Linked DNA regions of Tamandua tetradactyla. The protein of the gene in region 1 purifies or fractionates together with the protein of each later gene. This does not show direct contact. Links are inferred from orthologs where the notes say so. Each region holds a gene or a part of one and is shown in the gene's direction. Other genes may lie near its edges.

Region 1 (7,432 bases):
GGAGGGAGGGAGAAGGCTGGATTCCTGCCAGCCCTACTTAATCCATGCTATTTTGTACTTGACTGTAGGAGACCTTATGTTGGGGCAGGGCGCCTTCAGCTGTATATCTCTCTTCCAAAAATGCCCTTTCTAATTTTGTGGCAAGTAAAGGCACTCCTTAACCCTGAAAAAGATAGTAATAGTAATCATAGTATTGCAAAATTTATATGAGTCTTTTAAAATGGATCTAAAATGTATAAAAGTATATAAGGTAGTATTTTCTTACTTTGGGCCATTATTACTATCTTAGCACAAATGTTGATATGGCACTGGTAATTATTGTCTCTCAGCTCCAAATTCACTCATCTATACTTTGCTCGTTGATGGCTTAGACTCTGCAAGCTACATTTTTCCTTTGTCACCTGGTGTTTCACTATGTTCCACCAATAATGGGCATTAGAGGGAGCCGGGAAGGCAGAGAAGGGACTTCCTCCTTTTTGTTTGCTTGCAGTTCCGGTCATTGTTACCCCAGCAATAAGCAATAATCCTTTCCGCAGGAGCAGCAATTGGTTCCAGACTTGAGTTTCTTTCGGCAACCCCCAAACTAGCTTCCTATCCCTCTCAGAAACAGAAGGACCAGTGGGACAGTTTCCCTCCTCAAGGTTCTGAGCTCCAGCTCAGTGGGGCCATTCCTCTAAGCTTCTAAGGCCTGATCGTCCAACCTCTTCTTTTTCAGAAGTCTGAGGAGTGGAAGCTTCACCCTGTACTTATCACCTGTGAGCTACATCAGTGTTTCCTTTTTGCTTTATTAGTTGATCTACACCCAATATTAAATACTCTCTGTTATCCTATCTTGTAATCACTAAATACTCTGTATGGTCTTATCTTGAGATGGTTATGTCTTCAAACCTTCTCCAAAGGAATACAGCCATTGGTAGTATGTTTGTGCTTTGGGAAAATGTCAACATTCAGATTTTTCAGGGATTACTAGACATTGGATCTCAATAGAAATTACCCAAATTGAAAAACATAAAGAAAAAGTTGAAAAAAGTGAACAGAGCTAAGTATACTTAGCTAAAATGCCTAGCTAAGTGAAACTATAGTCCCAGAAGAGGAGAGAGAAGAGAATCAGGTAGAAAACAAATTTGGAGAACTACTGGGCAAAAATTTTCCAAATTGATAACAAACAAACAAACAGCAACGTACAGATCCAGGGAACTCAGTGAACCCTAGACAAAATAAACACAGGGAGAACTGCACCTAGAAACATCATAATTTGCCAATAAAGAAAGATCAAGGAAAAAATCCTAAAAGCAGCCAGAAAAAAGAACTAGGACATACAGAAAAATAATAAGAACTACAATTACAGTCAACTTAGATACAGTGGAGGACAGTCAACAATGGAATGACATTTAAACAACTGAAAGAAAGCCCTTTGATGGCTTCTCAATGCCTATAGGGTGAGGTGTAAGGTCTTTTACTTAACAAGATCTTCAACGACCTACCTTTGATTACATTTCTAGTCACCCTCTGTTCCAGAAATACTCTATTTTTAATCCCCCTTTTCCCCCCCTACAGGACCCTCTGCATGGAATGCCCTTCTCTTTTCTGCCTAGTTAATTGACCGACTAGCCTGATCACACAACTTTGCTGCCTTTTGACTTTATGTCCCTCTGGACATATCTATTGTATTTACTGCATTAATGCCATATTTGTATGGCATTCTCTGAAATGGATAGAGCTCCTTTAAGGCAGGGACTGAGCTTTAAATTTCCAGTACTTGTTATAGTACCTACTACAGTGTGGACCCTCAATCAATGTGTGTAGAACAGATTCCCATAAAAGTATGAAAATGTTTAATTCAGACATTGTTTAGTTACCAGGGTCTACTAACTTTGATACATCACAGTTGAGCCTATGATTAATTACTTACCTTTGCTGATAGGGCTTTTTTGGTCTAAACATTCCTGCCTGTTGGTGATGCTATCATTCTCTCTAATAATTTATAACTATAAGCTATCTATAGTTTCCCAGGAAAGGCTTTGGAACATGGAGGCTCATTTTTCCCTTCCTTGTCTTCCCAAATCCTTTTGGATTAATGACATGAGTCACCTACCTGTTTTTGTTTCTAGACAGTTATCTGCCCATATCCCAAACCCCACCTTCAGTCCACAAGTCATTAGTCTTTACCTAAATTTTGTTGTTGTCTAATTCTGGCTAGTCCCTGTTCCACTGAGCCATAATTAGCAAAGATGATTCCTGTTTTTGGTTCGCATTCCACTGACAGAGATAAGCCATGTGCCTGTATATGTTTGGAAGTAGGGGAGAGTGTGCAAAAGGTGGTCTCTGGGACAACTCCCTCCTTCTAAGTACACCAAACTGAAATTTTCATAGATGATTTTCTGCCTAACTATCCTTTCTCTCTATGCTTTCCTCTTTCATTTCAGTTTTCAATAAGAAAATTGGCTGTTTTCTTATTTTTCTACTTTGACTCTTTTTCATACATTTTTTCAGATATTTTTAACATTCTTAGTAAGAATGTGTTATGAAGCAGACTAAAGGAAAAAGTTAAGTTTATAGGGAACTGACACCCTTCTATGAAAAAGCAGATTTAAGCTCTCTCCCTTCCTTGCAGCTGTTGCTTCTATTGCTTAAATAACTGACATACAAGTTAAGAAATCTGTGAAAGGTCTGCTCAGATTACTGGCCCATTCAAAAGACAGATTCCCTTAACAAAATTAAATTTAAATGTATGACTCGAGCATATTTTTTTCTGGGATTATCTTCCCTGCTTCAGATATCAGTATAAGCTACCTGAAGGTTAGGATTCTATTTTACCAGTTTTTGAATTTACACCCCTCTCCCCCTCCTCACGTGTTAAACACGTAACTAGAATTGAATTGAGTCAGGTCCTAACAGTTTGCTGTGTGATCTTTTGGACAAATCATTTAACATCTAGATAATCATTTCTACACTTCAAAAATGAGAGAATTACTATCTCAAGCTATAAACCTTATGAGATCTTTTAATAAGTAAGAATAGCATGACATGATAACGCAAAGTTACTCAGACCCTTAGAACAAACCCCAAATTCACTTGCATTATTGATTCGGTTGCTCATAATGGAATGTGGCTACAGAGTAGCTGTTGGCCAGCTGTGTTTCACGGTCTACTTGGCGCAGCCAACTTGAGGCCCGGAAGTAACTACAGGCGATTTGTGCTTGACCTTGTGATTCCCCATATGGCAGGCAAACCACATGCATACATCAGCACGCAAACGGATCATTTTGTAGTTGAATCGTTAAATACAAATAACTGCCATGACCCTGGGATTTAGTCAGGGACAGGATTAAAGGAGGGAAAGATGCATTAACGCCTTAAACAAATATTTACCGCTGTCTTTCATGTGCCCTGGGGAAAAGCTGAACAGACACTGACATAGTTCCTGACCTAAGGGAATTTACAGTTTAGATGGGAACAAGGACTACAGTTCTGTTGGGAAACGGATCTGCAATCCGAGAAAGGTAACGTAAGCCTGCAGGCTTCTCGGAGGAAGCAACACTTAAACTGAGCAACAAAGAGAGGGAGCAGGGAACTAGGCCGATGTCGCCGGGGGCTGGGGAGGGCCTGCAGGGCTGGGGGAAGGGGGGGAGAACTAAATACTGCCTACCCAGCAGGTGGCCGGGACTGGCCACGGAGAACGATTACCCCAGGCGAGACTGGAAGCTGCCCTTCCAAGGCCCTCAGCGCCAGCTCATTTCGGCTTATGGACCAAATATAAGCATATAGCTTGCATTTTTTTCCCCTCCCATGTACCTATTTCCTAGCCCTTTTGCTCGCTCCCCGCCCCCAGGAACCTTCAGCTGCCAAGATCCTCAGGGACAAAATCCAGGGAGGAAGTAAATTCTCAGAGCAGCTGGGGCTGAACTCCACAAGCAGTGACTTTTTGCAGCGGAGTGGCTCTGCGGGCGCTGAGCAGCAAGGCTCAAAATCGTCAGCTGCAGCAGCCGGGGAGCAGCGGCGGAGAGACTCCGACCCAGCGCAGCCCACCCGCTAGTCCTCTGGCCTGTGGTCGCAGCGCAGCCTCAGCTCCCGCCACGCCCACTTCAGCGCTTGATTGACAGCTCGGCCTGCTCAATCCTAGAGCGGCACCAACCACCGTCGAGGGAGGGGCTGGAGAGAAGGGAACGGGCGAGCCTATCAGGACCCGCTGGGAGAGCGAGGTTTCCTGTCGGGGCGGATCCGCCGGTAAGTGCTCGGCCAGTCGGCGCCGCCGCCCGCCCACCCGCCGGCCGCGCGCGCTCCGCCCCCGCCCCGCCCCTCTCCCAAGAGCTACGCGGCGGCGGAGCGCAGGCCTCGTGCCGTAACGGCCATCGCGGCGGCCGCGGCGGCGTCCTGGTGGGCTCCTCAGGGGAGCTGGAGCGGCCTCGGCGCCGCAGAGGTGAGTCGAGGCGAGGCGGGGCGGCTTCGGGGCAGAGCCACGCCGGGAGGCCGCATCTCTCTCCCTCCCCTGTGTGTCCGCCCGGCTGGTGACTCGCCGTGTCGCTTCCTCTTCTCTGGCGAAGTTAGCAGCCCCGGCGCCTTCTGCCGGCTCCGAGCTGAGGGCAGCCGGAGGGGGGCGGGGAGCCCGCGGGGCCGGGCCTGGGCGTTCGCACCGCGGCCCCGCGCGCCCCTCGGGCCTCCCTGTCTGGCCCCGGGACACCGCGTCGGGGTGAGCGCGCCGGCCGGCGACCCTTGCGAGGCCCGGGTGGGCGGCTGTGCGGCGCGCGCTTCCCAGCCTGCTTGCCTTCTTAGAGAAAGTCCTGCTGGTTGCCGTGTGCCTAAACCGAGGCGGGGAAGGTGTGGACAGGATGGAGAAGGGCCGGGCGGGGGAGGGGCTGGCACCTCCCGGCCGAGGGGAGGGGAGGCGCCGGGCCGGGCGCTGAGGGGTGGACATATGGACGGCCCCTCCTCCCTCCCCCACCCCCAGCAGCTTTCCTCATCCTCGGGAAATCTGGGTGGTTTTTTTTTTTTTTTGATGGTTCGGACCAGCCTTAGTTCCATTCGCGAGTTGCTCGGGCTGCGGGATTTTGACTTGAGTTGTAATATATCCGTTAAAAGATTATCTTGATAGGTTGGTCTTGTAACCTTTCCTAATGTATTTCCATAAAAGTTAATTTCGCCCTTTGAAGCTTGGGAAGCTAGGTGTTGTGCAAGAGCTGAAGGTAACGTTATAGGCGCTTATCTGATGTCGAGCTGAGGAATTGAAGTCACCGAAAATTCTAACCGTTAGTTAGGAAAGAATAAAAAGGGTTTAAAGGAGAATTTTCTAACCTCATTTTCGGAGGGGAGAAAAGCATCTCAGTGTCTGGTCAAAACGGGTAGGTATTGCAAGATTTAAAAAAAGAATCTTACTCTGATAGGTTTATGAAAAAACATTAACGATTTATTAAGCCCCCCATTTTTCAGCGAGGTCACAGATTAAATGGGGGAAATAATTCAACGAAAAGTTTTTTTTTTTTTGTAGTTGTCAGTAATGGACCGTTCTTAAATAGGCATCCCCTTAAAGCTAGATTACTCAGTAGGTTTGCATTGCTTAACCAATAGTAGTTTCATTTCATCTTGACCCAGAACTCTGGGATTTTTTTCTTTGGGAAAATTGTGATTTGTAGGAATTAACTCTAATATCTGTAAATACAGTTTACAGGGTGTACAAGTCTTGTGCACAGTTGTGTTTGTTCATGTATTGAATTTTAAATTCTTTGCTGTATCTCTCCACGTATTACTTGTTAGCCCAGATCTTCCCAGTGCTTTGAGGCCCATGTAAAACCTGAACCATAGATGGAATGCTTTGTTAGACATTGAGTGATGCTTTGCGCTGCTGGGTTTCTTGTTTTTCCTTTGACTTTGACGTTTTGATTAATTTCTGTTGTGGAATCGGATTAAAAATCTCCTTAATTTCTTTAAAAGAAAAAGCTTGTTTTCTCTAACTTTGTTTAGAGAAAATAGTACAAAATGTAAATATATTGCTCAACGAATTGTTCAATTTGGGAAGACATCAGTATATTCATCACCCAAGATTTAGAACATTTCCAGGGCGGCAGAAGACTCATGCCCCCTCTCCTATAGCCACTATTCTCACCTGTCACTAGGTGAGAATTAAATTACTTTTGCCTGTTCTTGAATTTAATGCAAATGCAAGCAATATGTACTGTTTTTTGTGGATAGCTTATTTAGCTTATCATTGTGTTTGTGAGATTCATCATGATGTTGGGTGTAGCAGCAGTTGGTAATACTCCTACGGGTGAATATACTACAATTTTCTTCTTTTAAATTAAGCATTGGTGGGCTTTTGGCTTGTTTTCCAGTTTTGGGCTATTGTGAATAAAGTTGCTGTGAATATTCTTGCCTAAGTTTTTCAGTGGATATACATGCTCCTTTCTTTTGGGTGTATATATACTGGGAATAGAATTGCACTTTCGGTATCTACCAGTTTTTGAAGCTGCTTGAACCTGCCCTCCGTATCTGGTACATAATAGTTTTTTTGAAATTTCCCCCTTTATCATAAAACTGGTGACTCCCTTTGCCTTTCTCCTGTGTTAAGTCTGTTTCTGTGAGTTATGCAGTTCTTTTTCTTGGTTTATTCCCTCCTTTTGAAGGAGTATATCCTACAGTAGCTTCCTGTGAAAGGTTGAGACCTTGCATTTGTGGAAACCTTTTTTCTGCCTTCCCACTTGGTTTGATTGGGTGACCAGTTTTAGGTTGGAAATATTTTTCATTCAGAATTTTTAAGGTGTTGCTCAATTGTTTTCTAGCTTGTGAACCTTTTGAGAATTCTGAAGATAATTCTTATTTCTGCTCCTGTGTAATGTTTGTTTCTTTTCTGGAAGTCTGTATATCCTGTATTCTTAAATTTCATAGGATGTGCTGTTTTCATGGACATTTATTATGTCTTCTAAATCTACAAAATTATTTTCATCAGGTGTGGGAAGTTTTTTGAATTATTTTTTCAGTGTATTTCTGTCACCTCCTTTTTCTTTCTCTTTCTCTGAACATTCTATTATTTGGTTGGACCTCTTTGACTAGTTTCCTTTTTTCTTATATTTCTTCTATTATTCGTCTAGTAGTTTTGCTGTATTTTATGTGGGTGGTTTCCTTGATTTTATTTCCTAAGCCATCTGCTGGAGTTTTCATTTTTCCTGTAAAGATTTTGAGTTCTTTATTCTCTTAAAATTTCGTTTTTATATAGTATAGAGTTCTTGTTTCATGTTTGCAAATCTTTAATTTCTGAGGAAATAACATTACTTAAAAAACAACTTGTTTTCTCCTCTCAGAGTTTGTTTCCTCTAAGTTGTTTTTTTTTTCCATTTCTTTTGGTCTCTAACTTTTATGTTGGAGGATTACATCAGATGTCAGTCTTTAGGTGTTTATTGGTGATTGACAGCTAAAAAGCCTGATTACCTGATGGGGACTT
Region 2 (8,030 bases), on another chromosome or scaffold:
TAAATTATAAGCCAAGACCTTATTTGTTCTTGTCTTATCAAAGAAGTGCTGATATTCTGTAAAGGAAAACTGCAATTCACTTTCTTCCCTAACAATGAATAGAAAGCTTGGTGTTTTCAGGTATTGGTATTGAAAGAGTATGTGGTTTAATGATTATAAAGAACCTTTCTACCAAACGGGATTTTAGTTCTGACTTTCTTGTACTTTCTCTTGACATTTCTCAAGAAGCAGAGGCCATAATACTGAGGAAGTGCAGATGCAAAATACAGCAGACACCTAAAAACCAGAACCAGTCTCATCATTTTTAAAGTTCCAAGGTGAGATTTAGAAACAGAGCTAAAAGTAATAAGAGAGGATTCCCTCTGAGCCCAATCCAGCAAAAGAAGGGGAATTAAATCATCAAGTATACTGGGAGGCCTAATTAGCAAATCTTTTCGTTTGGGGTAGATGTCATATCTCCTTAGCTCTTAACTCTATTATCTTATCAAGTCCACTGACTTCAAAAGTTTATTCCATTTGAACAGAGGGTTTAAATGAAAAAGGGAGACTTCTGACTTTTAATGGATGCTCAAGAGACTTAAAACATGCCCTTTAGCATTAACAGTTCACCAAACAGGGTGATGCTGACCTAGCCTAATTTTTGCCAACCATCCCTTTCCTCTAAAAAGACTTGACAATTACATGACCAATTTTGAACCATTCAAAAACCAGGCCTTGAGCACACTGGATGAAATGAGTGGACAACTACAATTACACCAGATTTCAGAGGTAGTTACAAATCCTTATCCTAACTGCTCAGTCTGTCAGCTTCTTACCTGAGGGCACCAATACCCCTCAAAATTGTTAGGATGTCTTTACAGCAGGGCTTCTCAGTCAACACACTTACTGACATTTTTGGCTGGATAATTCTCTGTGTGGAGGGTTATCCTGTGTTTCTCAGGATGTTGAGCAGCATCCCTGGCCACCACCCACTAGATGCCAGTAGCACATCATCCCAACACTCATTTACAACCAAAAATGTCTCCAGGCATTGCCAAATGTCCCTGGGTTAGGAGCCAGGGGAGGCCAAATCACTTTCAGTTAAAAACCACTACCTTAAAGGGATGGCAATAAATAAAAGACAAAGATTCAAAGCACTTTAGACAAGGAATGGATTTTTTAAGGATCTTATGCACAAATGATTCTCACTCTGGTAAGCATCAGGCTCCCTGGGGAGTTTGTTAAAATGCTGATTCCTGGGCCTCCCCACCCGGACCTATCAACATAGCCGAGAACCGGGGTTTGCACATAATAGCAGCAATACCCCCATTCAACTGATAAGCTAACTTGGGTCAGTGAGGGAAAATGCCTTGCCCAAGGTCACAGAGCTAATTAGAACCAGGACTCCAAACCCAACCGTGCCTTTCCTTACAGTAAGGGTGGGTGAGATGAGGCGTGTGCGCGCGCGTGTGTCATTCTCAGTCTTTGAGAGGCAGTAAGGGTGGATGAGGTGTGTGTGTGTCATTTTCAGTCTTTGAGAGGCAGTAGAGCCTATTGGTTAAAAGGGACCACTCTGGAACCAGCCAGCCTGCCTTAAAATCCCGACTTGGTATTTAAGAGCCAGACGACCTTGCACATAACCTCTGAGAGCCTCAGTTTCCTTCTCTGTCAAACGGAATAATAATCGTACCTATTTACCTCCCAAGGGTTGGAGAGGTTAAAAAAAGATCATGTATAAAGCCCTCGGCACAGGGCCTGGCACACAGTAAGCACTCAATACATGTCCTACTATTATTACAATGATCGGACCACGAGTGCAGAGTTGAAAGGGTCAGCGGGGCCAGGGGGTTGGGGGCTGGAAATGGGTTCAACGAGGCGAATCGACCCCCGCCTTCTCCCCTTCGGGCCACGGCCGGCCGCCCAGTCCCTCACCTGGCCCCGCAGCTCCTTCTCCAGCTGCCGGTAGTCGTTGTTCCAGACTAGAAGGTGCAGAGGGAAGTGGCTGCCGTCGTCGTGGGCCGAAGACATGGCGAGGAGACCTCAGAGGGCCCTCGCCGCCCGTTCACTGAGGTCTTGGCCCCGGCGGGGTCTCCGGGGTCCGTCCGTCCGCCCGGCCGGCAGCCAGCGAGCGAGAGAACCAGGCGAGCGAGCGAGGGGCGCGCTGCTCGGCCGGGTGGCCTAGAGAGCCAGGAGCGGGGCGCACGGCAGGTCGGGGGTCGCGGGCCGGGTCGGGGACCAGGTCGGCCGCGCCCACCCCGCGCCCCGCCGCGCTCCCGCCGGCGTTGACAGCTCGCGAACCGACTTCGGGGCCGAACTGTCCCAAACAGGGAAGTGCGGGGAGCGAACCACTGCGCGCTGCGGCAGGGGGAGCGAAGCCAGGGACCCGGCCGGGTGTCCTCTCGACCCCATTACCCCCTAACTGCACACCGGAAAACTCAATACCAACGTCTACACGGAGCTAGAATTCCCTCTCTTGGCCCGAAGTCTTAATAAGGAAAAATCGGTCTATCCGTCTCTAGCCTCGTCCCCCCTGCTTTATCTACCCACAGTTGTGCGCTCCACAACTGGGCCGCTTCCATTGGCTCTGCGATGGGGGGGGGGTGTCTGAGTGGCCTGGACTAAACCATCCCCTTGCAGCCTTTTTGGACCAGGGCAGAAGCTTCTATGATTTGTCAGTAGCCATTTTGGAAGTGGGCAACACCAAAAATAGTTGTAAAGGGAGAACTATAAACCCTGGGAAAGTGGCATCTAATATTTGCATAATAGAAGCATAGTTCTATCTCAAGGTTTCTCAACCTCAGCACATTTGGGGCCAGATAATTCTTTGTTTGAGGTCCTTTCCTGTGTTTTGTAGGATATTGAGTAGCTTCCCTCTTCTCTATCCACTGGTGGCCAATTTAGCACCCTTCAAAATTTTTTTCGCCAAACATCCCCTGGGGGATCAATGTCGCCCCCAGCTGAGAACCACTGTCTATATGAACTCCAAATTTGGTTATGATTCAAAAATATCTGTGGCACACTAATACAAGGTGTTAATAATAGAGTGGTTTATGGGAACTCTATATTTTATGCATGATTTTTCTGTAAATCTACAACTTCTCTAATTAAAAAAAGAAAAAAGAAAGAACCTGTGCTGGTAGTTTACTTCACATATGACTGTTATTTTTTTTTTTTTCATGGGCAGGCAGACACGCAGGAATCGAATCCAGGTCACCAGTATGGCAGACAAGAACTCTGTCTGCTGAGCCACCGTGGCCTGCCTGAAGCTAACCATTTGGATTTGTAATTATGGCTGGAAGGGTGCATATATAATACTTAGACTTTACCACAATCTGCAAATATGAAGTTCATCCTTGGATTTCAACTTCAGACACTGTATCTTCTTGAATCAATAAAGAACCAAGTCAGCTTATAGCTACTAACCAGCCTGAGCTCCATGCTGCTGCTGCTGCTGCTGCTACTGCTCAATTGTCTACAACTACACAACCTAGCTCAGCAAAGTTATTCAATGCATCCTAAAAGCATCCTCTCTGCCTTTCCTGCCTGTGCACAACCAGCTTTTCAGATGTCTGCAACGACAGCTGTTCGAGAATTCTGGGCTAATCCATTCTCCACATGTGTTGAACCCAGATGATTTGTGAGTCGGGGAACCAAAACAGGAAACAAGAGCATCAAGATAGCACCCATAGATTCAGACTGTGGAATGTGCAGGAACTGTGTGGCTATTTCCACATCACACATTTATCAAACTGGAGAGATGGATCCTGGGTCATGCTTCTGAGGCCTTTTCCAGGACTTCTTTTCTTTTCAGAAGCCTCATACAACTTAATTTCATTCTCTCCATCATCCCATGTTAATTGAACATCTCTCCTATCTCAGTCTGAAAACCCCACAGTGGTAGGGACCACTTCTGTTTTGTTCACCAGACTACCTGAAGCCAAAACAGTACCTGGCCCATCATGGGCATCCAATATTTGCTAAATGGAGATTATAATCCTGTTTGCATGTAACATATACAATAAATGTTCATTAGCGTTAGGCTCACATCTCTTCTCTCCTTCACACTAATTAACCTCACTTCATTGTGTTTATCTCACACCATCCTATAAATTACTTTCCTTCAGGATTCTTATTCTCAAATTCCAAGTATATGAAGAAGAGCAGTGATTAGAAAATAATAAAATACCAATAATAGTGGTGGTTACTATCTATTGCGGGTTTCCTATGGGGCAGGCACAACATGCTTCTTCATAAATTACTCCATTTGTCCTTGGCCAGATAATAAATATTCACGTTTTGTGGGTCACATTGTAGTTCTGTTGCATATTCTTCCTCTTCCTCTTCTTTCTCCTTTTTCTTCTCCTTAAAACCTTTTAAAAAGGTGAAGACTATTCTTAGGTAGCAAGCCGTATAAAAACAAATCGTGGACTCCGTTTTGCAGATGAGATTAAAACTGAATTCTAAAGATGAAAGCATCTAACATATTCTATACTTGACTTATTTTATTGCAGATCAACCTCAATAGAATGTAACATCCATAAGTACAGGAAATTTTGTCTGCTTTGCTCACTGCTGTTTCTCTCGTTCCTGACAATGTTTGGCACATAGCTGGGCTCAATAAGTATTTGTTGACTGAATGAATGAACTCGGCCAATGTTACAGTAAATGGCCACCGATTGTCTCAGGAAGGTTGTGGCTGCAGCGCTCTAGTCATTAGATTTTGCTGCTTCCCCTGGTATTTATCGGTGCTGCGAGGAGGCATATCTCTTCCAGGGGGACCTAAATTCAAGATTTAGAAGTAAAGCGAAAGATGCTGGGGAGGAGCCTGCCCTTACTCAAGATGGCGACAAGGCAGCGTGCCCTGTCCGGTCACATGACCTATATCGCCGAAGGGAGCCTCCTTGCGCCTGCGTGCTGCGCCGCTATTCCGAGTCGCTGAGGGGAGAGGCGCCACCGCTAGCGCCGCCGCAGGGACCCGTTAAGCGGAAGCGCTCCTGCCGCCGCCTTAGGTGTCCCGGGGCCCCTAGCTCCTGACGCGTGGGAGGCGGGAGCCATGTCGAAGCGGCTCCGGAGCAGCGAGGTGTGCGCTGACTGCAGCGGGCCGGGTGAGTCGCACCGGCCGGGCCCGCTCCCCTCCTCTCCTGGCCGGGACCCCTGCCCCGGGCCGCCCCCTCGGGTCCGGCAGGTCCCCGCCGGCGAGCCCCGCGCCCCTCGGCCGTGGTCGCAGCGAAGGGGAACCGAAGGCGGCTCTGGGGCAGGGCTTGTTCCAGGCCTGTCAGAGTCGGACGGGGCGGGGGCCGCCCCCTCCCTTCCTTCCCTTCCCTCTCACACCACCAACACCTCCCCCCCCCCCCCCCCCCGCCCATTCCCCTTCATCCCAGACCGGTGGTGGGGGCGGGGGCTGGGGCCGGGCCCTCTCCCCTAACAGGAAGGGGCTTGGGCAAGCCACAGGAAAACCAATTACAGAAGTAAACTGCGAACGTCTTCGCGGATGCGGCCCCCAGAAGCTGCAGGTGTCACCCCCACCGGTCACCCTGTCCCTCGCCCGGGGTGGGCGACACTCGCGGCTTCCTTCACCAAGGCACGTCGAGGGGCCTCTGGGGCAGATGACTTCCTGGCTTTTGACATCCCGCTCCCACTCCACGGGGGAGAATCCAGGACGTTGAGGGCCGGCAGCGCCAGGCAGCGCCTGGGAAACAGTGCCTGTCTCGAGTTTGGGAGCTGAACAGCCTGGGTTCAAACCTGGTTTTCCCAAGGGTGACCTTGGACTGGTGACTTTGTTTGGCCAAACCTCGATTTCCTTATTTTTCCGATGGGGAAAATTGGGAGTACTGTGCTCAGGGGCTAGGAAGATTCAGTAAATGTTCTTATGATCCTGTTAAAGTTTTTTGTTCTTTTTTGTATTATGTTCTTCAGTACGGAACCCTCATAATCTCTTAAAACTAGATTTAATTCCTAAGTCATATATTAATTACAGCTTACCAAGTAAACACAAAATCACTCGGCAGAATACACATCTGAGTATTATTCAGGGACTGTAAGCATGTTGTGGCTATTAAAAGGCCGAAGCCATTTCCACCTATGTGCACTTTTCAGATTTAGGGTTCCGAGCTGTCTTTGCAATTGGAACTGAATTGTCAGGTCTCTATGGTTAGATTATTATATGCTATTTTCAGTGCTTGCATTTATCTATGTTGTGTTTGAAGTAATTCAAAAGTCAGATGGTTGACTTGGCACAATAGCACCCAAGAAACAGTGTTAATGAAATCATAAACATGTTTTTGCAACTGTTTTGAACTTCATCTTGTGATTTGGAAGTTGAGACTGATTTTAAATTGTACTGTGATAACTCAAACCTACGTGGTTGTGTCATGGCCTGTACAATGCAACCAGGATTACCAGTTTCCTTTAAAGACGGGAAGAGGGGTAAAAGGGTTTAAAAAGAGATGCTTCATAATCAAGTTAGGGTGGGTTATATAAACTCCATTTTTATTCTCTAAAAGTGTTATTTGTTCCGCTTCCTTCTTTTCTTGCCTGTTTTCAGTTGAACTTTCAGAGATGTGTTTGATTCACGTGTCTAGCATCAAACTTCCTCTTAGAATGAGTATTCTTTACTTCTCAAAAGACGCTGTGGGGCTAAGGGGAGTTGCTTCTCCGTTGCTGCCCCGAGACTGCTTTTCACTTTGTGGCGTTTTGTACATTTCAGAACATTTTCTCTTCCATTGTATCATTTTAGCTGTTGTTTCATATGCATAGTCTACAGAGACTTGAGTCACTTCCTTCCTGTTTTGAGTATAATTAGGCTACCTTGAACTGTTCTGTGAACTTGAGCAGCTAGGAATTTGTGCTTCTTTTCTGCAAAACTCTGGTGAAAGAATTACCTTTCCATTGAGGAACCCCTTTGAGAATCTGATGAAAGCAAAGACGCCACTCCCCAGAAAATGCACTGGTATTCACACTCTCACACAGATTTTACTTAGGATTTCTCACTCGAGTTACAGACAATTCTGAAACCCATTTGTGGTGTCCATGAACCCTGTATAAGAAGCCCTGACATAAAATATCCAGATAAGCTGGAAGGGTTTTGCCCAACTTCATTCATGCAAACTTGATTTTGATTTTACTATGTTGTGACATTCTAGTATTCTTTCCCCAGGATTCTGGTACATGATGTTAAAATGATCATTTGAGAACCTTGCTTAAGGTGTGTTAAATCCTCACTGTCTTGGTGCTGTTTAATTTCCTCCAAGAATACTGTAAATCATCTGGGTGATACATGAAAATCAAAGCTATGCTTCAAAGCAAATAGGTTTTTATGGTCATTAACAGTAGTACCAGACTGCAAAAAAAAAAATGTTCCTATATATCATTTTAAATAACCCTCATCTTGATATCTTCAATCCTTGCTCAGTATAGTAGTACTGAGAGAGTTATGCATCCTTGAATTACTTTGTTTCTGTTTTGTTTTAGGGCAAACATTTAGCCACAATGACTTCTTAAATATTTCACTTATCTTAATGAATCTAGTTAGTTTTAAAATACGTCATACTCTGAGTGCAATTACCTGAAAAATCTGGTGAGATTTTCACTATACTGTACTATAGTAGTACAGTATTCACATGAAGCATTCACTGTTTTTTAAGTATTTCTAATCAAAAACTTTTCCCAGTGATCATGAATTTCAGTAGGTTCTTGAAGATATCTGAATGCTGTTTAGAAAAGATATAACAACTAACATCACTGAGTACTTACTATGCACCCATTACTTATTCTTTTCTACCCCGAAATGTAGGTATCATTACCATTTGACCCATGGTGAAGAGACTCAAAAGAAGTAACTTGCCCGAGGATATTGTACCACAAGTGGCAGAATTGGGGCTCAAACCCTGGCCTGCTTGTCTCTGGAGCCAACCTTCTTAACCATCATACTTTCAAACCCCTAGGGTTTGTCTTTGATTGAAATACCGTAATTTTTCTGTATATGGTTTGAAAGAGCTTGAATAAACTGTTAAAATGATTAAGATGTTTGTGGACATTGAAAAATTTCTAAG

The links.
Region 2: the proteins of NCK1 (region 1) and GIT2 purify together in Homo sapiens (co-immunoprecipitation; 3 studies listed by BioGRID and IntAct, with this or other methods). This does not show direct contact. The link is inferred for Tamandua tetradactyla from reciprocal best matches to the Homo sapiens genes NCK1 and GIT2.

The regions. Positions count from the first base shown.
Region 1 is NC_135341.1:80,872,735-80,880,166, forward strand, and holds the start of NCK1 (SH2/SH3 adapter protein NCK1), read left to right. Parts: upstream 1-4,313; 5' UTR 4,314-4,420; intron 4,421-7,432. UniProt on the Homo sapiens protein: Adapter protein which associates with tyrosine-phosphorylated growth factor receptors, such as KDR and PDGFRB, or their cellular substrates. Maintains low levels of EIF2S1 phosphorylation by promoting its dephosphorylation by PP1.
Region 2 is NC_135331.1:21,455,952-21,463,981, forward strand, and holds the start of GIT2 (ARF GTPase-activating protein GIT2), read left to right. Parts: upstream 1-4,881; 5' UTR 4,882-5,032; coding exon 5,033-5,084; intron 5,085-8,030. Other genes in the region: ANKRD13A (ankyrin repeat domain-containing protein 13A), read right to left, coding at 1,912-2,007. UniProt on the Homo sapiens protein: GTPase-activating protein for ADP ribosylation factor family members, including ARF1.